2 linked regions of the Notamacropus eugenii genome follow. The protein of the gene in region 2 binds, or shares a complex with, the protein of the main gene of each other region. Links are inferred from orthologs where the notes say so. Each region holds a gene or a part of one and is shown on either strand. Other genes may lie near its edges.

Evidence for each region. The genes of interacting proteins can lie anywhere in the genome.
Region 1: STRIP1 (region 2) and STK26 share a complex: the UniProt entries of both Homo sapiens proteins name them as parts of the core of STRIPAK complex. The link is inferred for Notamacropus eugenii from reciprocal best matches to the Homo sapiens genes STRIP1 and STK26.

Annotation. Positions count from the first base shown.
Region 1 is NC_092879.1:53,710,392-53,717,590, reverse strand, and holds the start of STK26 (serine/threonine-protein kinase 26), read right to left. Parts: upstream 3,082-7,199; 5' UTR 3,005-3,081; coding exon 2,963-3,004; intron 1-2,962. UniProt on the Homo sapiens protein: Serine/threonine-protein kinase that acts as a mediator of cell growth. Modulates apoptosis. In association with STK24 negatively regulates Golgi reorientation in polarized cell migration upon RHO activation.
Region 2 is NC_092873.1:288,381,322-288,388,982, reverse strand, and holds the start of STRIP1 (striatin-interacting protein 1), read right to left. Parts: upstream 3,094-7,661; 5' UTR 3,079-3,093; coding exon 2,881-3,078; intron 1-2,880. UniProt on the Homo sapiens protein: Plays a role in the regulation of cell morphology and cytoskeletal organization. Required in the cortical actin filament dynamics and cell shape. Part of the striatin-interacting phosphatase and kinase (STRIPAK) complexes.

The sequences.
Region 1 (7,199 bases), on a different chromosome or scaffold from region 2:
CTAGCTGCCCCTCCCATCTCCATACATTTGCACTGGTTGTTCTCATGCCAAAAATGCTCACCACTGTCATCTCTGCCTGAACGCCAAGCCCCCTGCTGCAGACCTTTCAGTCCCACCCACTGTCGGCACTTTCCATCTGAGATGACTTGCCATTTACAGTGTATGTGTGTGTATTCTATATATGACCAGATGAATTGAAATGTGAGTTCCTTGAAGGCAGAGGCCATCGTTTTTCTCCTTTTCTATGGCACCCATTTATACAGAGCTTTAAGATTTGCAAGATTTACATACATTCCCTCACTAAATCATCACTTCAAGCCCATACGGCAGGTACTCTCATTACCTCATTGTTAACCCCATTTAACAAAAAGTGAGACTCAATGAGATTTAGTGATTTGACCAGGATCATACAGCTAACATCTCAATGCAATTTTCAAATCAAGGTCTTCTTAATTCTCAGAATATAACCATTATGCCACGTTGCCTCAAGAACCAGAGGAAAGTGGTGTCACAGAACAGCACAGATTAACAACTACAGGTTAAACAAACAACGTTGGAGTGAAAACTGACATTATTTTAATAATAAAAGTGGTGCTATACTTTTAGGTTCTTAACATAGGAAAAAAATGCTTCTAATTGCAAGACCAAATAAAAATTTAAATTTAAGAGGACCTATACAGACAGTCTTGTACAAGATAAACATTGGAAAAAGAAAAGTTTAACCTGTCAACCTAAGTATTATGAGGTTTAGTAACTGAAGTATCAGAACTGAAACAATTTCTATGTCTTCTTCAAAGTTTTTTTTTTAAACCAGTGACACAAATTCCTTTATCTTAAAGTCAGGAATGTCGGTCAGACTTAAAAGATAGAACAGGTAGTTCGATTTCAATGTCCAGTTTGGGGCCAGTGAACCAGGAGCACTTACTTTCTGGAAAAATTCTTGCTCCTAACTTCCTTAAACTGTTTTTAAAAATTTTTTAAAGGAGAAAGTTATAAGAGCAATTGTCTTGATCTGCTTTTTTAAAAATGTAATTTCTAAAACATATGATTAACTTTGAAGTTTCTTTAGCACTGTATGTCTGAAAACTTTCCATACATCTCCCTAACTGTATTTTACAAAATAATAACCCTTCTGCTATGTAAGTACTTCATCTACAACATCACACAATGAATATTCAAAGTAGCTTGGACCTAAGAGTTATGCTCATGCAGTCAGATATTTATTTTTAGGGCAGTGTACAAACTTAACTGTGGAAAGCAAGAGCTTAAGAACTATGTTGGGGGGGGGGGTGGCGGAAAGAGTGGAGAACTTAAAATTTCATTAAGGAAAAAGAGGCAGATAAGTGATCTTTTTTGTGTTCCTAGTACTGATTTGGGGGTAAAAATCCATTTAAGAGTCATGAGACTACAATCTCTGTGGGGAGAAACAGGGGTGCAATTTGTAATTGAGGAAAAAGGAACATTAATCTGAATCACTTATGTACTGGAAAAGCAGCTAAGAGGATAAACATTGAAAATGAGTGGCTAACTAATTTATAGGACAAGTTTAAAGCCATTTGGAAACACGGAATGCCTCAGCACTTACTGAACTTCTGAGATTCCCAAACTTTATGAATAGTAATAACAATCACAGGTATAAAAACAGAATTGTTAAAAGGTGCCCTTGCTTTATATAAACCAAAGTAGAAATCGTTTTATTTTTAAAGAAATGACTGAGCAATTCACAAGATGTGAAACGATTAAATTTAGGAGAGCTCAGTCTGTTATTTTCTCAAAAATAAGAGTAAAAACTTGAGACTAGGCACTGAAGTCTCCCTGAATTTATCTAAAAGGCCTAGTCATTAGGAAACCCTGCTAAAACCTAGTTAGATATATACACAATAGAAATTACTTTTCCTTTTGAAGGACTTTAAAAAAATCTCTGTGAACTTGCATAAAAGAGGATAAATAAAATGACATTCAAATCCCAATAAAACTTTAAAGGAAACTTTACAGGTGGCTGAAAATCCATGGTCAGGAATGTTTCTGGAAATGTGGGCTGCCTACTACTCTAACACATTTTTCTGAACTTTAAAAAGTTTTCTTACTGTTACAAGAGGAGGGACTGAGGCTTTCAAGTTCTTGGCCTCTGAAAAGAGTTCTGGAGCAATGGGGGGGGGGGGGGGGGAGCGTTTAAGGAAGAGGTGTATGCTTATTTAGAGAAACTAGTTCAGACTTGGACAGTTTTCACTAACTAGCCTGAAATGCAGTCCCAAATGTCTTAACTGTCTTCCTCAACGGCTTTCCAAAGGCTTAACAACTTTGCTTTTGTAAGAAAGCGAAGGTGTTTGTGGGTTGTTGCTTTTTGTTATTATTATTTTGTCAAGGGGGGAGGGGAGGGTGCATGATGAATGATAACGTACAAATACATATTCGTCCCGCACACGCGTCCTCTGCTACCCAGGGCACAAACTTCTCTTTCCCTTAGGAAATGGGGGAGGGGAGGGAGTGGGGGACGGAGGTGGGGGCGGAGAAGGGCTCCCCGAAATCGGGCCGGAGCTCGGATTTCCAGGTGGCGAAGGGGGATGAGACTTCACCGTTGAAGCAGCAGCTCCAAAATGAAAGGAAAAAGAGAGAGTCACCTCTTCTACCCACAGGAAGAGCCCAGTTAGTTCAGCGTCTCCTCCGCCACCCCTGGCCCGGCCCGGCCCGACTCCTGGGGAAGGGCCGTGGGGCCCAGACCCCCACCGAGGGGTTGCCGCAGCCTCCCGCCCGCAGCCCCCGACCTTGCCTTCGTCCCACGGCGGGAGCAGGTGCCCGGAATCGAGGCCCCCATTCCACTGCATCCCAGCCCCTGCCGTCGTACGCCCCCTCGCTCGTGCCGTCCTCCCACCCCCGGCCCTGCCTCCCTGCGGGGAGCCCCAGAGACACCCCCGATCCCCTGGGCCGCGTCGGGCCGCCCCGGCGGCCTGGGCCTCCTCACCTGCATCCCGGGCACTTGCACGGCCACCGGCGAGTGCGCCATGGCGGGGGCGGCGGCGGCGGCGGCTGCAGCGGCGGCGCGGTCCTCTCGGGCCGGCTTCCCTCGCGGGCCTGCCCTGGCGGCTGCGGCGCCGGCGCCGGCACCGCGGCCTGGGGGAGCGGATGAGCGCGGCGTGTCGCCGGTGAGTGGCCCGGGACAGAGAAGAGGGGAGGGCTGCGCAGGTGAGGGGCGCTGCGCGGCTGCGGGCGCCTCAGCCTCCTCACCGGCCGAGTCCGCGTGCCCCGGGGACCGAGCGCGAACAGGAGAGCGGGAGAGCTCCCTGCGCAGCCGCCGCCGCCGCCGCCGCCGCCGCTGCGGCTCCGGCTCCGGCTCCGGCTCCCGCCGCTGCTGTTTCCGACGCCGCCGCCGCCGCCGCCGCCGTCCGGATGAGCTGCGCTCTGCGCTGCCTCGGCTGAGCTCGCCTCGGGCCGCCTGGCGCGCGGCGCTGCGTGTGCGGGGCGGTGCGGCAGCGCGGGCTCCAGTGATGCCGTCCGCCGGCGCCTCGCCGCTTTTGGCAGGCTGGGAGGCGGCGCCAACGGCGGCTGGCCGGCCCGAGGGGCGGGCGAAGGGCGGGCCAGCAGCGAGCCCTGCCCCTGGCCCTGGCCCTCCGGGACGGAACGGAGCGGAACCGGACCGGACGGGACGGGACGGGACGGGACGCTACGGGATGCCCCTAGGCGCTTCAGGGATTCTAAGAAGCGCCCCCACTCTGGCGGTTCCCAAGAAATTGGACCTCGGGGAGGGGGGAAACCCTGGCGGAAGGGTCCGGCGCCCTGAGGGCAGGGGACACGACGCGAGGCAAGATCACCTCTAGAGGCAGGATCTTAAGGTGGAGTGGATGCTGCCGCCGCCCGAGCGGCCAGAGCCTCGAGAGCAAACGAGAACCCCGGGCTTAGCATACTCAGCCTCGCCCACTTTCAGGCCACTTGCTAATGCCCAATTGGAGGGAAAGAACTCTCCCCACTGTGACCTTCTTTTGCCCCGTCAGGGCTTTTGGGTGAAGAAGTGCCATGAGATTGGGTGCTAAGATCACATGTCACATGGGAAAGGGTCCTTACAGAGTTCAGCTCCCCCTCATTTTAGAGTAGAGCGAAACTAAACCCTTCGGAGAACAAGTGACTCGTCCAGGGTCACTCCTTCAGTAGGCCACTATATGGAATATTCCCTTCAACAGCGCTAATCACAACTGATCCACCTTTGCCCATCTTATGTTAATCTGTTCTTTGCCCTCCCATAGGATCACCACAGGGATTCTACCCCTCCTGCAAAAGGTGTGGGTCCTTTCTTGCTTTCTCTGTGCCATCTGACTATACCAGTGAAGCATGTGAGATGGCCCTGGTTCCCACCACATTGCTCACACCTTCTCTGGTCATACTTTGACTCAGTAATATCCCTCAGGGCATGTCTTTGGTTCTAGAGCAGACCAGCATCTATTCTAGCATATGTTAAAAGGGTCTTTAAAAATAATTTTTTTTAACCATATAGTACCTTAGAGTCTTTAAAAGCACTATTCAATTTCCCAAATGGAGTTCAGCCCACTCTTTTCCTCTTGGATTCAAGTTATTGTCCATCAGCAACCCCTATAAGGGTATAGGATATATGTGTTAATGGATGACTTAATGTACAGGCCATCCAACTGCATGTTATCTGGACAATAAGCATTTTTTATCCATTTGGTTTATATTCTCTAAAGTGTTAGGCTGAGCCCTTTTGAGTAACCATGGATCTCACTGAAAAAGACCTCTAATGCTAGGCAATTTGGATGCAATCAGCACAATTTCCCCAGCAAACAGTAGTATCTAGAGGACCTCACCATCTATGGGCAAGATTACTAGGCACACACAGACATAGGTAGCACACACATAAGCATAGCTCCTTGCTCAGACCTCACTCTTACTACCTCAATTTCACACTTGAGGGAAAACAGGCAATTTTTAAGATCAATTGGATAAAATTTTATTTCCCAGGTGACCCGACCCTGTGTTCTCAAAAACTATTCCAGCAGAACAAGGTACTAACAAGCCTGAAATTTAAAGCCAAATCCAATAAAGGGCTTGTAGTTTAAGTGTGAAGGCCCAGCCTAAGTAAAGGCCCATCAAACAAAAGGTTGACTATGCTCGATGTTTTTGGCTACAGCAATTCATAAAGGCTGTCTGCTAAGATATGGAAGGGCTGCCAGGAGGAAGAGGAAGTTCAGGTTTTGGGGGATACATCAAAGTTCCTAACAGATTACCTGATCACAGATTTATAGCTGAAAGCGACCTTCTTTATGACGCATATAGTCGAACTTACTTATTAGACAAAGGAGGAAACTCTGGTCCAGAGATGTCAGGTCACTTGCCCAAGGTGGTTGGCTGTCATCTCTCATTCTTGAAGAGGACCAAAATGCCATCACTATATGTTGGGGTGTGTCTGACTGCTGGCTGCTCGGAATGCTCTGCCACATTTCATATGAGCATTTGCAGTAGAGATGTCTCTAAATTTGTTTATCACATGCTTCATTTGAGCTATTACATTTCTGCTTTACTCATAGAGCACAGTGCCTTCTTTGATGTGGGCACACCATGCTAGGTGGTCCTGGGCCAGTGTCTCTCATGTCTCCCTACTGATTCCAACGTTCTTCAGAGAGACCTTGAGAGTGTCTTTGTATCACTGCTTCTGACCTCCATATGAGTGTTTACCTTGTGTGAGTTCTCCATAAAATAATCTTTTACGCAAATGTTTGGCCAGCCCATCAGAGCTGAGTTTTTTCTGCAGTACAGTTTGAATGCTTAACAGTTCAGCTTGAGAGAGAACCTCAGTGTCTGGTACTTTATCTTGCCAGGTGATCTTCAAATCCTCCTAAGACAATTTGAATGGAAGCCATTCCATTTCCTGACATGGTGCTGGTAGACTGTCTGGATTTCATAGGCATACAATAATGAGGTCAGCCCAGTGGCTCCGTAGACCTTCAGTCTGGTAGACAGCCGAATACCTCTTATCTCTCATGCTTTCCTTCGGAGCTGCTCAAACACTGAGCTAGCTCTGGCAATGAGTGTGTCAACCTTATGATCAATGTGCACATGCCTGGAATGTATACTGCCAAGGTAAATGAATTTATCCCCAGCATTCAAAATTTCTCCATTTGCTGATGGTTCCACATATGGATGGTGTGGTGCTGGCTGAAGCAGAAGCATCAGAGAATCAATCCATACTTTGTTGTATCTCAACCTCAGAGGCTGCATTGAGTGCACAATCATCTGCAAACAAAATGTCATACACTAACTCTCCCTCCCTTATCCAAGGTAAGGTCACGTAGGTAGAGAGATAGGTAGAGTTAGGATTCTAACTAAGGCCCTTTGAGAGCAAATCTAGCTTCCTTTAGCTTCTATATGTATTTAATAAAGGATAATACTCTGTATTAAATTAACCTTGTGATGCTGGACTTCACATTTATTTACCTAACTGACTTGGACTGACCATACTTTTTGATATGAATGTTCCTACTTCAACCACCCCTAGTCACATCACACTTCAATTACTTTTAATAGTCACTGAGCTGGTCTCCCTGACTCTGTTCTCTCCCACCTCTAATTCATCCTTATCTGAGATTAATCATCCTAAAATACATTCTTTCTAAAAGACCACACTCTTCAGAATTTATAATAGCTTCCCATTACCTAATTTCCTAAACTTGTGTAGCCACAGCAGTCCATAAATACTGGCCCAGGAGGTCTGAAGACATCAAATAACCCAAAGAGAAAAGGAGGAGGGGTTTTGTCAAGGAAATTTTGGAACAAACTGGAAGTTAACCTGCAAAAATCATCAAGTATGTTTTCGTTGCATCATTGAACATTTCAGAGGGGAAATATTTCATAGTGTCAAAGTATACAGAGCCCACTATTCATATTGCACAGAAGAACAGATGAAGAAACTGAGGCTTGGAAAGGTAACATCATAAGTGGCAGAGTTGGCGCTTGGACTCAGATTTCTGAAGCCCAGGCCTTGTAGCCAATCTACTACATTTGATATGAATCATTCTAATTGGATAGTAAGGGAAAGGGAAAGAGAGCAACATCTAGTACACTGGGGAAAAGCACTGTGTCTGGAGTGAGAGATGTTGATGTTGCTGAGTCATATATGACTCTTCGTGATCCCGTTTGAGGTTTTCTTGGCAGCAAAGATCCTAGAATGCTTTGCCATTTCCTTTTGCAGTTCT
Region 2 (7,661 bases):
CCAGAACTGAACCTGAGCTCTAGGTTTAATGACTTTCAGACAATTCTGAAGAAAGGTAGAAACCATAAGTAAATGGGGAAAAAAGTATCTACATAGGGCCTGCTTTCTATCTTTAGATACATGTGTCTGTACTTTGGTGACTCTGGAAGATAAAGTAAGGCCAACAACTTTGTGCAACTCTGCCTCACTTAAATCAATTCACCCATGAGTGAAGACACTGACCCATGGTGCATTGGTAACCTCTAAGACGAAGGACGAATAACAGCGACATTTGTCTTCCAACTGTCCAAACTTTCATCTACTGGATCTTAGTAAAAATTGAGGCACATGGAGGAAGTGTCGACAAACATTTCTATAGCACGCTGTTGACAGCTAACTAGGGAGATGGGCAATTGCTTCTGAATTATGACATATAATTCACTACCATAAAGGTCATTTCTAGAGCTTCTTCTCAGTCTGAACCCTTCTTGAACTTTGTGTAGCATGACACAACTCACTTTTCCCTCCCTGAAATTCTCTTTTTCCTTGGCTTCTGTGATATCACATTCTGTTTCTACACCTACTTCTTAGATTATTCTGTTTCTCCTTACCCAGGTAAATGTGAGGTCACAAGATTTAGAGCTGGAGAGTGTCTTTAAAATAATCTAATTTAAATCCCCCATTTTACAAACTGGGGCCAAGAGAAATGGAAAGACTTGTCTGAGCTCATACTCTGAAAATAACCAGGTTTCTAATCTAGGTCCTATGACTCTAAAATCAGCATTTTTTCCAAATTGCCTCTTGGGGATCTCCCTCAAGGATCTTCCTTTCTACATACACTTATCCACTCCTACTACTTTAGCCATCACCTTTACGGGGATAACTGAAAATCTCTTTTAGTCCTAACCTGTCTGACCTTGGACCAGTTTTCAGCTCTCTTCTGGACATCTCTAAATCAATGTCTTGCTAACACCTCAAACTCAACATACATGAAATCTGACTCATCACTTTTATCTCTCCTCTCAAGGACACAAGCTCCTCTTTTGACTTCTTTATTCTAACGTACCTAATCATTCAAGGTTCAAATAACTCAGGCAATTAGCTGAGTTTCTCCCTCTCCTTCCACAACCAGCCAATCACCATTTTCGTGGATTCTACTTCCATAAGCCTCCTCTGTTGTATCATTACCAACCAGTTCAGGCTTTTCTCGACTCCAACACTTCCCCATCGATCACAGGACCAGAGACTGAAAGCTGGAAGGGTCCCTGGAGATCATCCAATGCAAGTCACTCACTTGACCAAGGCTCGGAACGGTGGGGATTCCCCACACTGGTAATAAGCCGGTCAAAGGCAGTGCTGCTTCCAGGGTCCCCACTCTTTCCTCTTTCTCGTCCATCTAACATACCGCTGCGCCATTAATTATCCTCTCGTACAACCAACGCTGCCCATCTTCAGTGGCTCCTCACTGCCGACGGGTTAAAGCCAAACTCTGATCTTCTGGGACTCCGCGGCCCCGCTTCTTCTCTGCCCCCCTCTGCCGCTACCTGCGGGCCCTCCTCACCACTGCACAGGGCCCCGTGCTAAAGGCCCCCCTCCAAGGTCAGCCTCAGACCCAACGCCAGCTCCGGGCGGCCTTCCCTGGCCCCTCTCTCCTGCATTCTCACGGTGCCTGTCACACAAGGGGCACAGAGCGGGGCCAGAGCTGGGCCCAGGGCCGGGCACAGAGCGGGGCCCAGGGCCGGGCACAGAGCTGGGCCAGAGCCGGGCACAGAGCGGGGCACAGGGCCGGGCACAGAGCGGGGCCCAGGGCCGGGCACAGAGCTGGGCCAGAGCCGGGCACAGAGCGGGGCACAGGGTCGGGCACAGAGCGGGGCCCAGGGCCGGGCACAGAGCGGGGCCCAGGGCCGGGCACAGAGCTGGGCCAGAGCCGGGCACAGAGCGGGGCACAGGGTCGGGCACAGAGCGGGGCCAGAGCTGGGCCAGAGCCGGGCACAGAGCGGGGCCAGAGCTGGGCCAGAGCCGGGCACAGGGCCGGGCACAGAGCGGGGCCAGAGCTGGGCGCCTTCCTCATCCAGACTGGGTAGGCCGCCAATACAGACTGGCTGAATTAATCACCACCGTCTCGCCGACGGTGAGGCTCCTCTGAGATCGGCCAGTTTGGGGCTTTAAAGACCGAACTACTGAAAATGTGACAACATTCCCTAAGAGCCGGCTCCCTGACAGACGCCTGCCTCCCTCGGCCACCGGGTCAGAAAATTCCTGGTGAAGGAGTTCGGTCCCCTCTCCTTCCCAGTGACTATCTCAGGAAGCATGATTCTCCAAGGAACAGCGAAGTGCTGGGGAATATGCTGATTAAGGTGACCTAATTTTTAAAAAAAGGAAACCCCAACGTGTATTTTCATTCATGAGGCCGGTGGGCGGAACTACTCCCGAGCCGGTGAATGACTCGGGCGTAGCCAGGGCGGCGCTCGGGGCCAAGGCGCACTTTCTGGTTTTCACACCCAGGTCGGGAGATTGGAGGTGACCCAGGCGAAGATGGCCCGACGACCGAGGAGGAGGAGCGGGTGGCCGGCCTTCAAGTGGCTTCTCCGAGGGCAGGGGCACCGCGGCCGACGAGGGCGTCGGTCCATTCCGGAGGGCGCCGCCCAGCTCCCTCCTCAGCCCGGGAGGCCGAGGTCGCCCCGGGCCCACCCACGGCCGCCGCGGTTCCGAGCCCCCGGGGCCTCGGGCCTCGCACAGCTTCCGGCTCCGGCCCCCGCCGCACGGACAGCGCACGGACAGCGCACGGACAGCGCACGGACAGCGCCCGGTCAGCGGCCGCTCCTAGGCCCCGCCCCCGCCAGGGCCCCGCCCCTGCCCACCCCGGCCCGGCCTCGCCCTCGCCCTCGCCCCCCCCCTGACCTCCGAGTCCTTGCGCTGGTTGCGGTTGAACTCCCGCCCTTTGCCCCCGGGCAGGACGCCCCCGCCGCCCCCGCCGCCGCCGGCGGTCCGCGGGGCCACGGCCTGGGGCTGCGGGGACGCGGGAGGCGGGGGCGGCGGGGGCTGCGGCTGCTTGTTGTTCACGATCAGAGGGCCTGGCCCACCGCCTCCCGGCTCCATCTTGGCTCCTGCGGCCCCAGCCCAACTCTCGCATGGCCGTGGGGCCGCTTCTCTCGCGAGATTTGACCCCTAACCCTGCCGCGCCCCCTCACTTCCGCCATAATGAGTGTGGCGGTGAATGGGAGACGCCATCTTGAGCGCGGCAACCTTTTAGGGTGTCTTAGCCTGGAATACCTCTCGGGCGCCCCGCAACACGACGCACGGTCGGACTGTGGTAGTTGGTAGGTCGTTTTTCAGTCGTGTGACCCCATTTGAGGTTTTCATGGCAAAAAATGCTGAAGTGATCTTCCATTTCCTTCTCCAGCTCATTTTACAGGTGAGGAAACGGAAGCAAAAAGCGTGAAGTGACTTGCCCAAGGTCACACTGCTAGTACGGGTCTGAGGCTGAATTTGAACTCAGAAGGCGGGGTCTTCGTGGCTCCAGGTCCCGCTCTGGTTACTATGGCGCCCCCTGGCTGCAGAGTCAGGTTACGGGCTCACTATTTTCCAATGCTATTTGTTAGGCAAAGCTCGTTTGGACTGGAAGAAACTGACCTCGCACCCTGCTGACCGCTGCTCTGAGCTCTCCAGCGGAGGGTCAGTGGAAAGGGCGGCCAAGGGGAGTCAGACTGGAGGTCCACTGCCCCCTCTCTGCCTCCCACTTAGGCCTCCTTCTTAGTAAATGAAGTGGGGGGAGGGGATAGGCCAGTGTACTAGCAGCAGGCCAGCAAGTCGTCATCATGTGCCATCTTGGTGCCTCTGTCCCATGGGACAGAAGTAATTTCCCTTTTTTCATCTGTAAAATGGATCCATCAGATGGCATCTTAGGTTCCTTCCAGCTCCATGACTTTTGGAAGACCTAGGGCTAATTCTTGCTTCTAAAACAGTTTCCCCAACCTTTAAGATGCTAAAAAAGTGTCAGCCTGCACTGGAGTCTTTTGTTTGGGGATTTTTCTGGTGGTGGGGGGAGTTCCCTATACCAAGGAAATGACACACTTCTAGGTACTGTTGATCAGTGAGGGGTGTTCTCTTTTCCAATGAAAACAGGGGTCTGGTTTGTACCCTACCAGGGTAAATTCTAGGAGATAACACAGGCATATATACAAAGTACATAAAAGGTAAAGAGAATGCCTGGCCTCCCCCCACACAGTGTTAGCTGGGAAGGTTTGCCAGACTAGCTGAAGTTCTGAGGTGCCCTGAAGGAGAGATAAGAAGCATCATGTGTATGTACCACCATCACCTTGACCACCATTTTTCCTCAGATTCTGATAGAGACAGTCCAGGGCCCTGAACCTAAGAGCCATGGAAATGGTAATGCTTCCAGCAACTCTTTTCAGATGCAGCCTGGCAACTGTTTCTGCTGAAGATCCTGAAAATAAAGTTCTGTCACCACAATCCTTGGCCTTCTCCAATGGGTCAACCTTAGAAAATGATATGGTATTATCAGTGGAAATGATATTTTTAAAAAAGAGGCATTACCGCCTGCTTTACTGATGCACCTTGAGAGTCTGACATACTGTTGAAGTTTTTATATATGTTCTATGTAAGCTTTATGAGAAAAGATTCTGTCTCACTTTTCTATTTGTATCTCCAGTGCTTTGCACAGTGTTTTACTTAAAAAAAAGGCAAGTGCTTAAAAATGCTTTATTCATTCATTCACCAACAGCTGGGGGACTCATGAATGGTCTGATGTGGGAGGTTCCGCTCCAGCATTGACATAAACTAGGGATTCTCAGAAACAGGTGAGGAAGGACAGTTGGATGGGAGAAAAAGAATGATGTGGGTGGATGTGGTGTTGTGTGTGAGAAAACAAGGAGACCAGTTTGGCTGAACCAGAGTTGGAAAAGGAGACTAATACATGGCAGGTTGAGGCCACGCTGGAAAGGATTTCAATGTTAAATGAAGTTTGATCCTGGAAATAATAGGGAGCCCTAGACGTAACAGAAGAGTATAGTGACATGGTTAGCCCAGTCTATGCTTTGGGGAATTACTTTGGCAGTTAGGTGGAAGATGGGTGAAGAGGAAATAATTTGAAGCAGGATGATCAGATTTCTATAACAGTCCAGGCTAGAGACAAAGAGCCTAAAATGGTTGCATGAATGGAAAGCTGACAGATGAAGAGATATTGTGGAGTAGAAATGACAAGATGAGCAACTGGCTGGATCTCCAAGGTCCTTTCCGACTCACAATCTCAGGATCTCTTTCCTTTTCTTCTCTCTCTCCCCTCTCTCAACTGCCAGGAACATAGCCTGGGGAGCCCCACCAGCATTTCTTCTAGGCTGGTGCCCAAGCAAAACTGACAACCAGGATGAAGGATTTGGTCAGGAAAGGGAGAGGGCTAAGGATGGCTCTCTGTTAATCCAAACATGCAAATCACATGCAAATTGACATTTGGTTCTGACATCAACAGATGATACAATTCTTTGCAATAGGCCTGCTTCCATTCCTTGGAAAATGACCCACTACAAATATATATTCTTTCAAAATCTCTAAGAGTCAAGCTTCATCAAAGCAAGTCACCTCTCTCCTTAGCCAAACAAACGCAAGAGCATCTGAAGGGCCACCAACTTGTGTCCTCTAAAGTTCTTTTCCAAGACAAACTCATCACCCAGGTATCTATCAGAGTTTCTTCCAAATGAATCATACTGATTCAGGAAGTTAAGGGAAATTCTTTTTAGAATATAACCTCCTACAATAGATTCATAAATTTAGAGCTAAAAGGACCTAGTTCAACCCACATACTTCTGTCCTTATGTGTACAATGAAGGGTTTGTACTATGACTTTCTAAGGTGCCCTCTAGCTCTAAATCTGTGACTCTTAAGATAAAGATACACTGCCTTTCATGTGCCACTAGATTGCTTTAGAGTTCTGTCCAGACCCAAACCCTGTGACATGGGACAAGTGCCTCGCTCCAAGACCAGAGGCTCATTGCCTTGGAAATAGTAAAGTTCATCACCTGTACTGAATGACCTTGTCCAGAAGGAATCAGAACTGGCTGTGTGTGGGGGGAAGACCACCATTGCCTATAGGCCACTCACTCCTGAGAGAAGGAGCAAGAGGTGCAGCTTACTGAAAAATGGATCTGCCTCACCTTAACTATGAGCACATATAGCAGGTGGCTCTATAGGACTTATTTCTGAATGAAGCCATCTATTTTGGTCTTTTTCAATGCCAAATCTATGATCCTGCCAAATGCCCCATAAAAATGGCAGGAGTGAAAATAAAGCAAAATTAGCTACATCCTTTCCTTGTAGGAGGGACACCATATAACTAATGCATTTACAGCAAGTTTGTGGAAGGTAGAGAAGGCATATTCCATTAATAAGCACAGCATACTGAAAAAGCCACCTAGTCTAAAGGCCTGCTTTCTCATGGGATAACTGCACCCCACTATTATTTCTGACACCATCTAACTCTGAACTAAAACAGCCTAAGTTTAGCAGGACAAAATGACCTCCGTGATTCTCACAAGGTGGTTAATAGGGTGGCAGATGTGCCCTGATGCCCTGCCCAGATGTCAAACACCCAGGACATTCCCAACTCAGTGGTAAGGGACAGGGAACCATGGGTCATTCACTGGAACGTCTGGGCCATGGTGACCTGAAGTTACTGGGGCAGGGGCTGCCTGCTGAAGCCCAGGGTGGATGAAAAGGGCTACCTGGGAATGACAGCAAACCAACATTTCCTCGTCTTCCCAGGAACCCTGACTTCTCACTAGCCTAAGAACAGTATAACCTTGCTACTTCATTTTCAAATAACAAGGGAGTGAAAGGGCGCCACCTGGTGGATTTCCTTCATGGCAGCAGTGGAGAACCATTCCTGGACGGGGACCTTTCCTCTAAGCAAGCACAAGTTGATAAGGTACCATGTAGGAGCAGGAACAGAGCCCACTGATAACATTGCTCTGGCACCAAATCCTAATCTCCCAGGACTAGTGAGGCAATTTGGGCTGCTGTTCAGGGCCAACGAGGCAGTCATCACCTCAAACCCTACTCCCAGTTATTCTCTGGAGATGCCTTTTTTTCTGCCATGCTGCACTCTCCATGTTGTATCATCCATGTTACTCTGCAGCTACTGTACCCTCAAACCCAGATCTCCAGAAACCATGCCGAAGGGAAGCCAAATCAGTCAGTCTGGGAATTCTCAGTTCCTCAGTCAATAAGCATTAAGTACTTACTAGACGCCAGATCCTGTACAGAGTAGTATGCAAAAGCCATGAAGGAAAAAAAAGATCCCTATCAGGGAAGACTATCAGGGAAGTCATATTCCAACAGAGGAGACAATATGCAAATGACTATGTATATGCGAGATATGAACAGCCAGAAGGAAGGCTTGAGACAGTTGAAGGGGTGAGGATGGATAGTCCCATGCCCAGGTGCTTGGAGCTGCGTTGAAGCTGAGGAATCCAGGGACAGAAATGAGGGAGAGTATTCCAGGACCAAGGAAGAGCCAGTGAAAAGGCACTGAGCTGGGAGACAAGTGTCATGTTCTAGGAACAGCAAGAAGCTGGTGTTGTAGGATCATAACAGCATGTAACAAGATTGGAAAGGTCAGGTTGGAACAGGCTTTAAATGCCAAACAGATTGTTTTATATTTGATCCCA